Ovis aries: one gene and its partners. The protein of the gene in region 2 binds, or shares a complex with, the protein of the main gene of each other region. Links are inferred from orthologs where the notes say so. Each region holds a gene or a part of one and is shown on either strand. Other genes may lie near its edges.

Region 1 (3,748 bases), on a different chromosome or scaffold from region 2:
AAGCATTACATTTCCTTAACAAATAATTCTGAAAAAACTGCTACGAGTGAAAAATTGATTCAGCTTTAGTAAAGATGTCCTCGAGTAAATTTAGTCAACGTGGATTATTGCCTATATTTTACATTTCCTTGATTATTTCAATCTTTAAAATAACTTGCCCAATAATACTTTATTCCTACCATTTCAAATGAGAGTTTTCTGAAACAGAGTACAAGATCTTGCTCATGGAGCAAAATCAATAGCTGCTCTAACAAAGTCCTATCGAGGAGGTTCTTTCATTTAATGTTTTCAGTCCCCGCAAATCCACTGCTCTTTCCTTTCGAAAAGCAGCGTGAGCCCCGTGCACTCTGGCACTCCCATTTGTCTATGGTTAGAGCAGCAGAGTCGTGCTAACAAGGGAATTCGAATTTCTCAGCACCCAAACTCAGCGTTTCCTTCTGTCTCCTCATTGCTTAACCGCGTGAGGAGCACGCGGAAACACCTTCCCACGGAGGATGGGACCAAGAACCCTCCCCTCTCCATCTTAACTGGTGAGGAACCTTCTTCAGTCGGTGGCTTTGGTCGCAGAACATGACAAGCTGCCGAAACCACTTCCAAAGGGAGGACGCACTGCTCTGAGATGAGCAGAATCCCGAAAATCCCTCACCCTCCCGAGAGGAGCCCAAACGGTCAGCCCGGAGAAGGAGACGTGCACGTCCCCTCCGCCCCTTTCTCTGAGGCCGCGGGAGACGAAGCCTCGCCCCCTCTTAGCCCGTCCCCCGCCCCCGCCCGCGACCAGCTCCCCACCCCGGCGCAGGGAGATCTCTGCTATGGCCGCCGCGCGGCCCCCTCACTTCCGGTGCCGGTGCCGCTAGAGCTGCGCCATCCCCCAGTCTACCGGACAACCACCGCTTTCAACTGACCTTTCTGAGAGATCCGGACTCTTCCGACCTTCACTAGGTGCTGTCCTGGAGGAACCGGCGGATGGTTGCCGCAGTTAAATGAATTCACGGGATATAGATTCCGCTCTCCTCTCACCAGAAACATAAAATGCGATACAGCTGCGGCCACCTCTGCCCAGACAAAATGGCGCCGAGAAGCTGGTTCAGCGCAGGCGCCTTGGAAAGACCCTGCCCCGCCCCCGTGTAAGTCCTGGCCGCAGCTCCGGGTTCGGTTTCCATGGGACACTCCACCGCCAATCCTCGTGCCGCACTGCTCTTCCTGACCCCTCAATTGACCAATCAGTGCTCAGTCGAGCACATCCGTAGTCGTATTTACCAATCATTTTTCAGGACTTGCTTACTCAATACCTGATTCTCCAGTAACGTTAGTCTTCGGAGACAGCCAATCATAAGTGGAAAATGTCCTACCTGCTGTTTTTCGCACCAATCGGTGAAGTTTCAGAGCTACATCCAATGAGGACGGCAGGTAGCGAACTCCAATCCGAAACTCTTCGGCGTCATGAGCAGCCAATAGGAGTTCGTGTAGAAGCGAGTCTGCTCAACAGCTTGTTATTTGGTGGATTGTGGCAGTAAATCGGGCGAGTGGGGAACCCGGCGCAGGAACTGCCGCCGCGGCCGGGAGTGGTGCTTCCCGGACGGGGGCCCACGGGGGTCAGCGGGGCGGAGGACTCGGGAGCTGACAGCGAGCACTTCACCCACAGTTGGTAGGTGAGAAGAAGGGAAGCGAGGGTACTGAGTGGACGAAGCGGCACTAGCAGCTGGCGCTGCTGCCCGGGGTCCCGGTGCAGTTGGAAGCTTAGGAGGTGGGGAGGGGGATGCTTGGCAAGCGGGGCGGTGAGCTCCGGTGAAGGGGCTAGTCGTGGAGCAGCGGCAGCAACTGCAAGAACAGCCTCCGCAGCAACCTCCTCGGCCGCTTCCCCAGGTTCCCCGGGAAAATGGCTGTGGGGCTGGTCGCGCCGCTAAGTTTGCTTCCGCGAGGCGAGGAGCGGACTGATTAGGGAAGCCGGCCCCCAACTCCGCGGTGCGTCCTCCCGGGTGGAGTCCGTGGCAGGACCCGAGGGGCTGGTGGCTGGTACCGCTCTGGGCTGTACAAAAAGTTGAGGCGGGCGCGGGGAGGAGGCGGCGGCTGCCGCTGTGCAGCTCCCCTCCCCTCCCACACCCTGTCCGGGCCACCTCCCCTCCTCCTCTCCGCCCCCCCCTCCTCCCAGCTCGCTCTCCCTCGCGGGTCTGCCCTCCCTCGCGCGCCTCCAGGCTGAAGGCCACGGCCCCTGCCCCATTGGGTGAAGAAGCGCTTCTCCTTCCTGACATGGTGCAGAGCGGAGGAAGGAGAGCAATGGCGCCGTGACACTCCGCTGCCGCCACCGCGGGCCCGGGGCGGGCCGAGGGGGCCGAGCGGCGGAGGCGGGGCGCGGGCCGAAGTCGGGGTATCCGGGGGGCGGCCGAGAGAAGGCTGGGCGGCCGTGCCTGCGAGGAGCCCGGAGAAGCCCAAACGGCGCTCTGCCCTTCTCCGGAGCAACCCGTCCGGGGGCACTGAGTTGAGCATTCCGGGTCAAAGTGGCTAGCGAGGCGGGGGCGCGGTGGGCCGCTGGCGAACTCCGCGGTGGAACCCGCTGCCCTTTGGCGCCGGTGGGGTTCTCGCCGCTCTCTAGGCTCCTGCGTCCTGGCTGCCCTCGGAGGGGATCTTACCCCTTCCCTGGTAAGGGTTCTGCCCCTCCCCGCTGGCGTTTGTTTACTTTCTTTACCGGGGTCGCTCCCCTCCGTTGACTGATTCTGTGCCTGTCTTTCTCCTCCCCTTGGTTATAGCGACGGAGAAGATAGCTCGTTGAGCTGGAACCCCACAGATCGCCAGTGAAAATGAAGGTAAGTGGAGTCGACGCTGCTCGGAACCTCGTGCCCTGAACACTGTCTGTCGTGAGGCTGGTGCTGTGGAATGTCATTTTTTTGGCTACTCAAAATTGATTCCTCTACTAAGCAGAGCTTTCTGAAAATGAGGACGTGTTGAATGGGTAAGAGATGATCATTGTGTCTAAATGCGGTCAGTTTGGCCCCTCTCCGAAGCAGTTAGCACTTTGGACAGGCTGCTGCAGCCTTCCCATTGTTGTCCAGTGGGCTAGTATTTTTAAACACTTCCTGTGTTGGCAGCACCCTTTGCAGAAGTAAAGCTTTTGTCCTGCTTTGGTTCTTTGGGGGATTTTTTGAATTTTTTTTCTTCCCCAGTGCCAGTGAGATTTTCTAAAGAAGGAATGTGTGTATTGTGTTAGGGACATATCATTTCTTCTGGGGATAAAGTGAAATTTTGTGGCTGGAATATACTTGAAGGTGAAGGAAAACTAAATTTTGTATATTATTATCATAACTAATAGCACTTAATTTCAGTTCAGTCCTTACAGTAAATATTTTAAACATATACCCAACCTAAAAAAAATTCTTCTGAAGACAGCTGATATTGCAGACATCCTGTGATGTTTAAAGGGAAAGGAAGGTATATCAACCTGTAGTTCTGAGGTGTTGAATATTTGCAAAAAGTATTTCTCATCAATTTGCATTATTCATAAATGCACTAACTTTAAATTTGATTTCTTACTCATTTACTGTTTCAGTGTATTGAGCTCTGAAATACAGTATTTTCCCAAACTTCCTCTCGCTTTCCTATCTCCTTGAAGTTTTGAAGTGACAGTGTACCTTCTTTAATGTTAGTTGGGAAAATAGAATGAAAAATCATTTTCTGCTTGAAAGTATTTCTCTAAACTGTACACTGTCACCGTTGCACTTAGCAATGTTGAATTGAATTTGTATACATATACTTA
Region 2 (3,648 bases):
TATTTCTCACTTCCACTGTATAATCATAAGGGGCATACTAGGAGCATTCATTTTCTTTCTTGACCATCACTTTGGAAAATTGTAGCATGAAATAATATCCTTCATTTGGTTGCTGATAGTTTGCTGATTTTTATTATCCTGTTATTTCATTAGGTATCAGGAAATAAGTTTCTCTGGTCTGGCCTCATTTTATCATCTTTACTACAAAAATATGTCTTTTTTTCCAACAACTGCATAAAATTCCATTTCATGGCTATACGATCAATATGTAACCAGTCTTCCATTTGATGGACATTTAAATTGAATCCATTTAAAAAAGAAAACAAAACAGTAATGCATAAATTAGGAGTGTTACCAGAGTGGAATGTTAGAGCTACATAACCATTAAGATGCATTTAATCTTCAAAGTCTATAATAATATGAAGTAAAATTTATATATAATTTTTCATAGTACTTCTACCTGATTTTAGGTCAATATACTTTGTGATTTAAATGGTATAGTAAAACTTGTCAGATGTATATCCATTATCTCCAGAATTCAGAAGTACTGAAAACAGAATGAACTATAGAATCTAATTTAAAATTAGAAGAAACCTTGGGAAAAAATAATATCGTACTCACTCAAAAATATTTATAAGTTGTTCACTTGGTGCATTTTTTAATCCAGCTACAATACTCTGTAGCCGGCTTACACTTTGGGTGGCTGAAGCAACAGGAGTAATGACTGCTTCTTTTTCTCTTAAATATCGCCGTCCTGTCAGAGGGGTAGAAGGTGCAAATGATGTTTTCTGACAGAAAAGAAAAATATGTGACATTAAAAATCACTAAATTACATGTCTAATTTAGTACAGATAGCATCCCCTCTATTCATGTTTAGTAGGTTACTTTTTCTCTCTCTTCTGGTTACCTACCACATTTTTAGCAATATTATGCTAATAACATCCTATCTCTGAATAATACTTTTTCACAGTGCTTTCTCTCTACAATCTCATTTTATCTTCATAAAATTCATTTGAAATATAACATGCACATTTTCATTTTACATGCGAGGAAACAGCTGACAAAAGGCAATGGAAGTGCTGGGACTAAAACTTAGGTTTCTATGAATTTTCTAGCAGACCTTATACTCCAACCCACCTAACACATAAGCAGAGAATTAAGCCTTGGCTATTAACAATCAAATCCAGAGTAATATGACTGATGTTTGAGAAAAGCACATGGTAGGAAGCAAATTTTAAAGCAAGAAAGCAGCAGCTAAAGTGATACAAAGAAAAAAACAGGAAAAAAGTATGTCTTCACATCCAAAGACACACAGTCTACTGAAAATCCAGGCATTCTGGGAAAATATCCAAGCATGAAAAATAGCAAGAAATGAGCTAAATACTATATGCTATAGTTTTGAAAATTATTCTTTAAAGTTTTCATAGGAAATATGAATTAGTAGAAGAAATTTAAGATTTAACTTGAAAGATACTTCTGCTGTTGGGCTTCCGTTGTGGCCCAGCTGTAAAGAATTCACCTGCAATGTAGGAGACCTGCGTGCAACCTCTGGGTTGGGAAGATCCCCTGGAGAAGGGAAAGGCTACCCACTCCAGTATTCTGGCCTAGAGAATTCCATGGACTGTATAGTCCATGGGTTTGCAAAGAGTCAGATACAGCTGAGCATCTTTCACTTTCTTCACTTTTCTGCTGTTAGTAGAAACACACACACACACACAGAAAAAAACCATTCAAGACTGAGGCCAGGCTAGGTTATATTACTTTTTCAAAGTGATGTTGAAGATTACACTCCACATTAGCCTGTGCTGTCAGTTTCCCTAATGGGCCGTCACCAGTGAACTTCCGAGGGGTTCCAATTTCCTCTTCTGCATCTGCTCCCAAAAAGATCCTCTCATCAAAGTCACCAACAGTTAAAACATATTCTTCGTACTCCTTGTTCACTGCTTTGCTGAAAAGAGAATTCTTTTAAGCTCCTACGATACAACTAAGTTACACAATGGATTTATCTTAAAGATATATTTTGACTCCAGAGCATGGAAAAGCTCATGACTTTCTAGTTTTTATTAACTCTGCCCATCTAACAATATCTGAGGTTTCTATCTGATCATGGACATTCTTCACATTCACATATATGGCAATAAATTATTTTGCAAGGTGACTGAAAAGAATCTGTACTTAATCTGAAAACTAGTTGAACCTAATTAAGGCCTAATCATTGAGGAAACAACTGTGTGTGGCCTTGAAATATAAGTACATTCTAAATTTGCCAATATTTGATTAGTGAAAGAATGTCAACTCAAATACAGAAGTCATTGGTTCTGTTTATGAGTTTCTGAGGAGAGCAGATATTTTAAGTGCCAATGGTTTCTGAAAATAGATTTAAGACTATAACGCTTAACAATAACACTCACTGAATGCCACCAATGCAGAAGAAACCTGAATTTGAATTTGGAGCTGTTAACTTGATACAACATATCACTTAACCAACTGTAACAAATCATTACTGACAGTATATGATATGCCTGATACTTTTAGTGCTAGATAATTACCTATTATCAGTAAAACTGGAAAGGTCCAGAAGGCATTCGCCCTTCAAAATCTGGAAAGAAAAAGTCATTGTGACATTACGTAAGTAAGCATATTAACGTACACACAAGAACATTACATTTATCTAAATTAACACACACAAACACAAAACAGAATTATTAAATTTTTTTTTCAGACCAGTAACTCCTATTTAGTATGCAAATAAAATATTAAAAAACATTTAATGTCAAGATTTCAAAATACTTTGAAGTTAGTCTATCCATAGCAATGGTTTCCAAATTTTAATGACATAACAATCATGTAGGGGAACTTGTTAAAAAGGCACACTTGACAGACCTCAAAGCCTGAACTGTGGCAGCAGTTTTAACAAATTCCCCAAATGATTCTGATGAAAGCTGTCCAATTTTAAAGACTGTCTATACAGAATGGAAACTAACAGTTATTGAATGATGGTATGTGTCAGACAAGCAAAAGATATGAAAGGAATATAGCTACTGTTACTGGTGAGAAGAAGGAAATGGCAACCCCCTCCAGTATTCTTGCCTGGAGAATCCCCATGGACAGAGGAGCCTGGCAGGCTACATGGGGTCACAAAGAGTCAGACACGACTGAGTGACTAACAACAATTGGTGAGAAAGGAAAATTACACTGTTATTAACATTGTCTGTGTATCCACACTATTCTTAGATTATCAAACATCAGGGATGGTAAACTCAAATGCTTTCAGGGGTCAGGGTTTAACATACATAAATGAAGAGGGCAGAAAGCATACTTCCTTGTCCTAAGAGGTAGCCATTATTGAGCTTGACAATCGTTACCTATGTAGTTACCAATATTGCCAATTCTGATTTTTAAAAAATTTTCACATAAAAGGTCTTCATGTGTTAAGCTAAAAATTGAACAAAATAAAAACGTAAAACACCCTAAACAGGCCAAATAAACGGTCTGTGGCCCATGGGCAAGAGAACCACTGTTCAAACCAGGATACTTCTGGAGTGAAAAAAGGAGACATTCTAGTAATTATGCCACACCAACAGCCAAAACCTAGATAACTCAGGCAAACCAAGATGTATGGTCACCATACCTAGGAGCCACTAGGGC
Region 3 (3,748 bases), on a different chromosome or scaffold from region 2:
GAAAGATTTCAGTATATGATTTTTTTAATATAAGATTTTACACATATATAAGCAAAAGTGAATAAGTGAAATTTACAAACATATTCATACATATGTAAAAAAGATTACTGGTTTTTCAAACTGCTCTCTACAAGTAAAAAGTCATTAATATAATGAGACCTACTGTTACTGCAGAAACCTTTGAACTTTTAGGAAAGTTTCAGGATGAATGAAACAAAGTTGTTATGAAATATTAAAACTCCACTTCCCGCTCACTGCCTTTTTGACTTCTGGACAGCAAAATATGACCACAGATGAAACAGGAAGAACACAAAGAATTGAGAGAAAAGCAAGGGCAAAGTTCCATCCTATTCCAAGGCAAGTTGTAGAAGCCCTCACAGTCAGCCCTTTAGAGCTCAGTTTCATCTGGAAAACCCCAAATTCTCCTGATTCCGCTCTGAAGTCACAGGCTACAACTGAATTTCTAGATCCTGAATAGCAGTTTGCAAGCTGTGTTGTGTAACATCCCTGGCTTTCATCGATGACCTCACGACTTACTGTGACATTCTTTAAAGAGAATCCAATTTAGTTCATAACTATTATATATGCTGTAAACCACTTTTAGGGAGGGAGAGAAGTATGGAAGAAAGAGCTGGGGGTAGGGGACAGGGAAGAAAAGGACCAGAATCTCCAAAAGGTGTAGGAAAATTCTAGAAATAACACTTCCAAATAAAAAAGACTAGAAATCACTTCCAAAAATGCAAAATTTGTGCATTACGCCTTGTTTGTATAAAGTAGAACAATTCAGATAACTCAACAATCACTTACTGAACACCTACTACACCAAGGAGATGGAGAGAACATTCCAAAACACACCTCACCTCTCAGGGCAACCTGAGAGGAGGGCTCCTAGCAGGGGCCATCAAGTTGGCCTCTTTTTTTTGAGTTTCAGGTCAGGGAGAACTAGAAGACCCTCTCTGCTCAGACGCTGCAGCCTCCTTTCAGCACAGTCTTGATAACTGCAGCCTTTAAGGGAGGTAAGGTTGTCCCAGCACTCCCTTAGGGGCTAGGCCCAATCTCCCGTGTCAGACCAGATTCAGGGGTAATGACTAGGAAAGGCCTGCGATGCTTACTGACTCATTAAATTTTCCTTTGTTCTTAAAGCTTTAGTTCTTAAACTGGGTGTGCTGGCTGAATTGTAATTCAAGTGATCACATTCTCTTGCTCCTCAGCGGTGTGGAATCCTTCCAAATCCGGCCTGGAACGGTTAAGTCACTTTGTTTAACAGAACAGCTTTTGATGCATGTTGTTGTTTGAAAATTCTGAAACTGTAGTAACAGACCAAGCACACGGTCTCGGGAAACCGTGATGGAGAGTTTACGCGGCGCTTCCATCTCTTTTGGTGGAAGTTATAAAACATCCCCTCGTCGTGTGATGGCAAGTCTCACTTTTATACATGTGTATGAGACACCATATTAAGTCGCAAATCAAACATACCCTAGTCATCAGGGTTATGAAAAGAAGTGTAAGAGCCAGAGGTGTTTTTATTTACTATTATTATTTTAAGAGGAGGACTGAAGAGTTCACTTCGTTTTTGTTTCATCCAGAAGAGGTGGCAAACTCGGGTTTTGTTTGCTTGCTTCAGATACCAAATTAACTCACAAATCAAACATACCTCTCAGTCATCAGGATTGTGAAAAGTGTGAAAGAGGAGTTTTTATTTACTATTATTAAGAGGAGGACTGAAGAGTTGACTTTTTTGTTTCATTCAGAAGAGGCGGCAAACACCGGTTTCGCTTGCTTGCTTCAGATACCAAATTAACTCACAAATCAAACATCCCTCTTAGTCACCAGGATTGTGACAATAAGTTTAAGAGGGAAAGGCGCTTTTATTTACTATTCTTATTTTAAGAGGAGGACTGTAGAGTTCACGTTTTGTTTGTTTCATCCAGAAGAGGTGGCAAACTCGGGTTTTGCCTGCTTGCGTGTTTTCAATAACCGACAGACGCCCTCACAGGAATCGCCTACAATAGCCGCCAGTCCGCACCAGCGGAGACCCCCAGGGCGCCCCGGCTCAGGCCCCGCGCGCTGAGGGGAACGCCACGCGGGCGCCGCGGCTCTTTGTCGGCGGCGCGGCCCCTGCTCACGCCCCGCGCCCCTCACCCAGCGGCCCGCCCTTCCTCCTCCTGAGACCGCGGCCCGCGCTCACCGCCTTGAGGTCCAGCACGCCGTCCTTGGCCTCCTGCAGCAGCGACACGAATTTGGCGGTGAGCAGCCCCAGGCTCTTCTCGTGCCGGCTGCTGCCGGCCCCGGGCGGCGCGCAGCTCGCGGGCTCGGCCGCCGCCATCGCGTCCCCGCGCTCCGCCACCTGCAGGGCCGGACCCGCGGCGGCCGCGGCCGTCGCCGCCCGCCGAGGGCGGCACGAGGGGTCGCGGGCTCCTGCCAGCTACAGGTGCGCGGCGCCCACCCACCTGAGGCCTCCACCCCTTCCCTCCCCTCCCCAAGCCCTGGGCCGTGAAGAGGGGGCTGCGACCGGGGGCGGGGTGCGAGCGCGAGCCGGCGCGCCGGGGGCGGGGCCCGTCTTTAAATGGCCGGAAGTGACGCACGGCGCGCTGGCGCTGGGAAACGCGCTTCGCTGAAGGCGGGAGGGGAGGGCTGGGCGGGGCGGGGCGAGACGATAGGGGCGATAAGGGACGAGGCGGGAGGGTGGGCGGGGCAAGAAGGGGGCAGAGCGGGAGGGGCGGGGCGGGAGGTGGGTTCCGCGACTGGGAAAAGGGGCTTCAGTCCAGTTCAGTTCAGTGGCTCAGTCGTGTCCGCCTCTTTGCGACCCCCATGGACTGCAGCACGCCAACTCCTGTCCATCACAAACTCCCGGAGTTTACTCAAACTCATGTCCATTGAGTGGGTGATGACATCCAACCATCTCATCCTCTGCCGTCCCCGTCTCCTCCCGCCCTCAATCTTTCCCAGCATCAGGGTCTTTTCAAATGAGTCAGCTCTTCGCATCAGGTGGCCAAAGTATTGGAGTTTCAGCTTCAGCATCAGTCCTTCCAATGAACACGCAGGACTGATCTCCTTTAGGATGGACTAGTTGGATCTCCTTGCAGTCCAAGGGACTCTCAAGAGTCTTCTCCAACACCACGTTTCAAAAGCATCAATTCTTCCGCTCTCAGCTTTCTTTATAGTCCAGCTTTCTGTTTAGCATCAGTGATTTCCAATACCCTGTCTTCCAGGTTGCTGATCCATTCCTCTGTATTATTGAGTCTACTGTTGATTTCTTCAAGCGTATTTTTCATTTCAGTTACTGTATTCATCTTTGTTATCTGTATTTTCTAACTCTGCTGTTAAATACTTCCAGTTCTGCACTAAAGAATTCCATTCTTTACCAAGTTCTTTTATCATCTTTAAAAATCATTCATCCTGAATTCTTTCCAGGTAGATTGCCTATCTCCACTTCTTTTTCTGGAGTTTTATCTTGTTCCTTCATTTGCAACGTGTTCCTCTGTCACTTTATTTTGCTTGACTAGATGTGTTATTGCTGTGTATTTGGTAGGTTGCTTATATTTCCCAGCAGTAGCTTTTTGTAGGAGACACAGCCATGAGTCCCAGCAGTCTTCTCCCCTCTTGTCGCTCTAGGGGTACCTCGATGTGGGCTGCTAGGGTCCTTTTGTTGTGGCAGGCTGACTACTGTGGGCAGTCTGGTAGGCTTGATTAGTCCCTGGTCCAGCTGGTGGCCAGGCCCTGCCTTGTGTGGAGGCTGCTGACCATT

The links.
Region 1: the proteins of RBL1 (region 2) and ARID4A are in contact, whole or in part, in a crystal structure (PDB 7SMC), measured with the Homo sapiens proteins. The link is inferred for Ovis aries from reciprocal best matches to the Homo sapiens genes RBL1 and ARID4A. Residues at the interface, in NP_002886.2 of Homo sapiens: Tyr849, Ile850, Lys853, Val854, Thr860, Phe861, Gln862, Met865, Lys866, Arg869, Tyr879, Arg880, Asp929, Leu930, Ile931, Tyr934, Asn935, Val939, Ala946, Leu947; in NP_002883.3 of Homo sapiens: Leu957, Val958, Cys959, His960, Glu961, Val962, Asp963, Leu964, Asp965, Asp966, Leu967.
Region 3: the proteins of RBL1 (region 2) and E2F5 are in contact, whole or in part, in a crystal structure (PDB 5TUV), measured with the Homo sapiens proteins. The link is inferred for Ovis aries from reciprocal best matches to the Homo sapiens genes RBL1 and E2F5. Residues at the interface, in NP_002886.2 of Homo sapiens: Ser1000, Ala1001, Leu1002, Leu1003, Tyr1004, Lys1005, Phe1006, Asn1007, Ile1017, Met1020, Ile1021, Gly1024, Glu1025; in NP_001942.2 of Homo sapiens: Met162, Ile190, Ala192, Pro193, Ser194, Gly195, Thr196, Gln197, Leu198, Glu199, Val200, Pro201, Ile202, Pro203, Glu204, Met205, Tyr213, Leu217.

The regions. Positions count from the first base shown.
Region 1 is NC_056060.1:68,643,845-68,647,592, forward strand, and holds the start of ARID4A (AT-rich interactive domain-containing protein 4A), read left to right. Parts: upstream 1-1,499; 5' UTR 1,500-1,649; intron 1,650-2,046; exon of another isoform or gene 2,047-2,637; intron 2,638-2,744; 5' UTR 2,745-2,795; coding exon 2,796-2,801; intron 2,802-3,748.
Region 2 is NC_056066.1:66,042,712-66,046,359, forward strand, and holds part of RBL1 (retinoblastoma-like protein 1), read right to left. Parts: intron 2,600-3,648; coding exon 2,550-2,599; intron 1,949-2,549; coding exon 1,762-1,948; intron 789-1,761; coding exon 622-788; intron 1-621. UniProt on the Homo sapiens protein: Key regulator of entry into cell division. Directly involved in heterochromatin formation by maintaining overall chromatin structure and, in particular, that of constitutive heterochromatin by stabilizing histone methylation.
Region 3 is NC_056062.1:90,394,206-90,397,953, forward strand, and holds the start of E2F5 (transcription factor E2F5), read right to left. Parts: upstream 2,538-3,748; 5' UTR 2,327-2,537; coding exon 2,189-2,326; intron 1-2,188.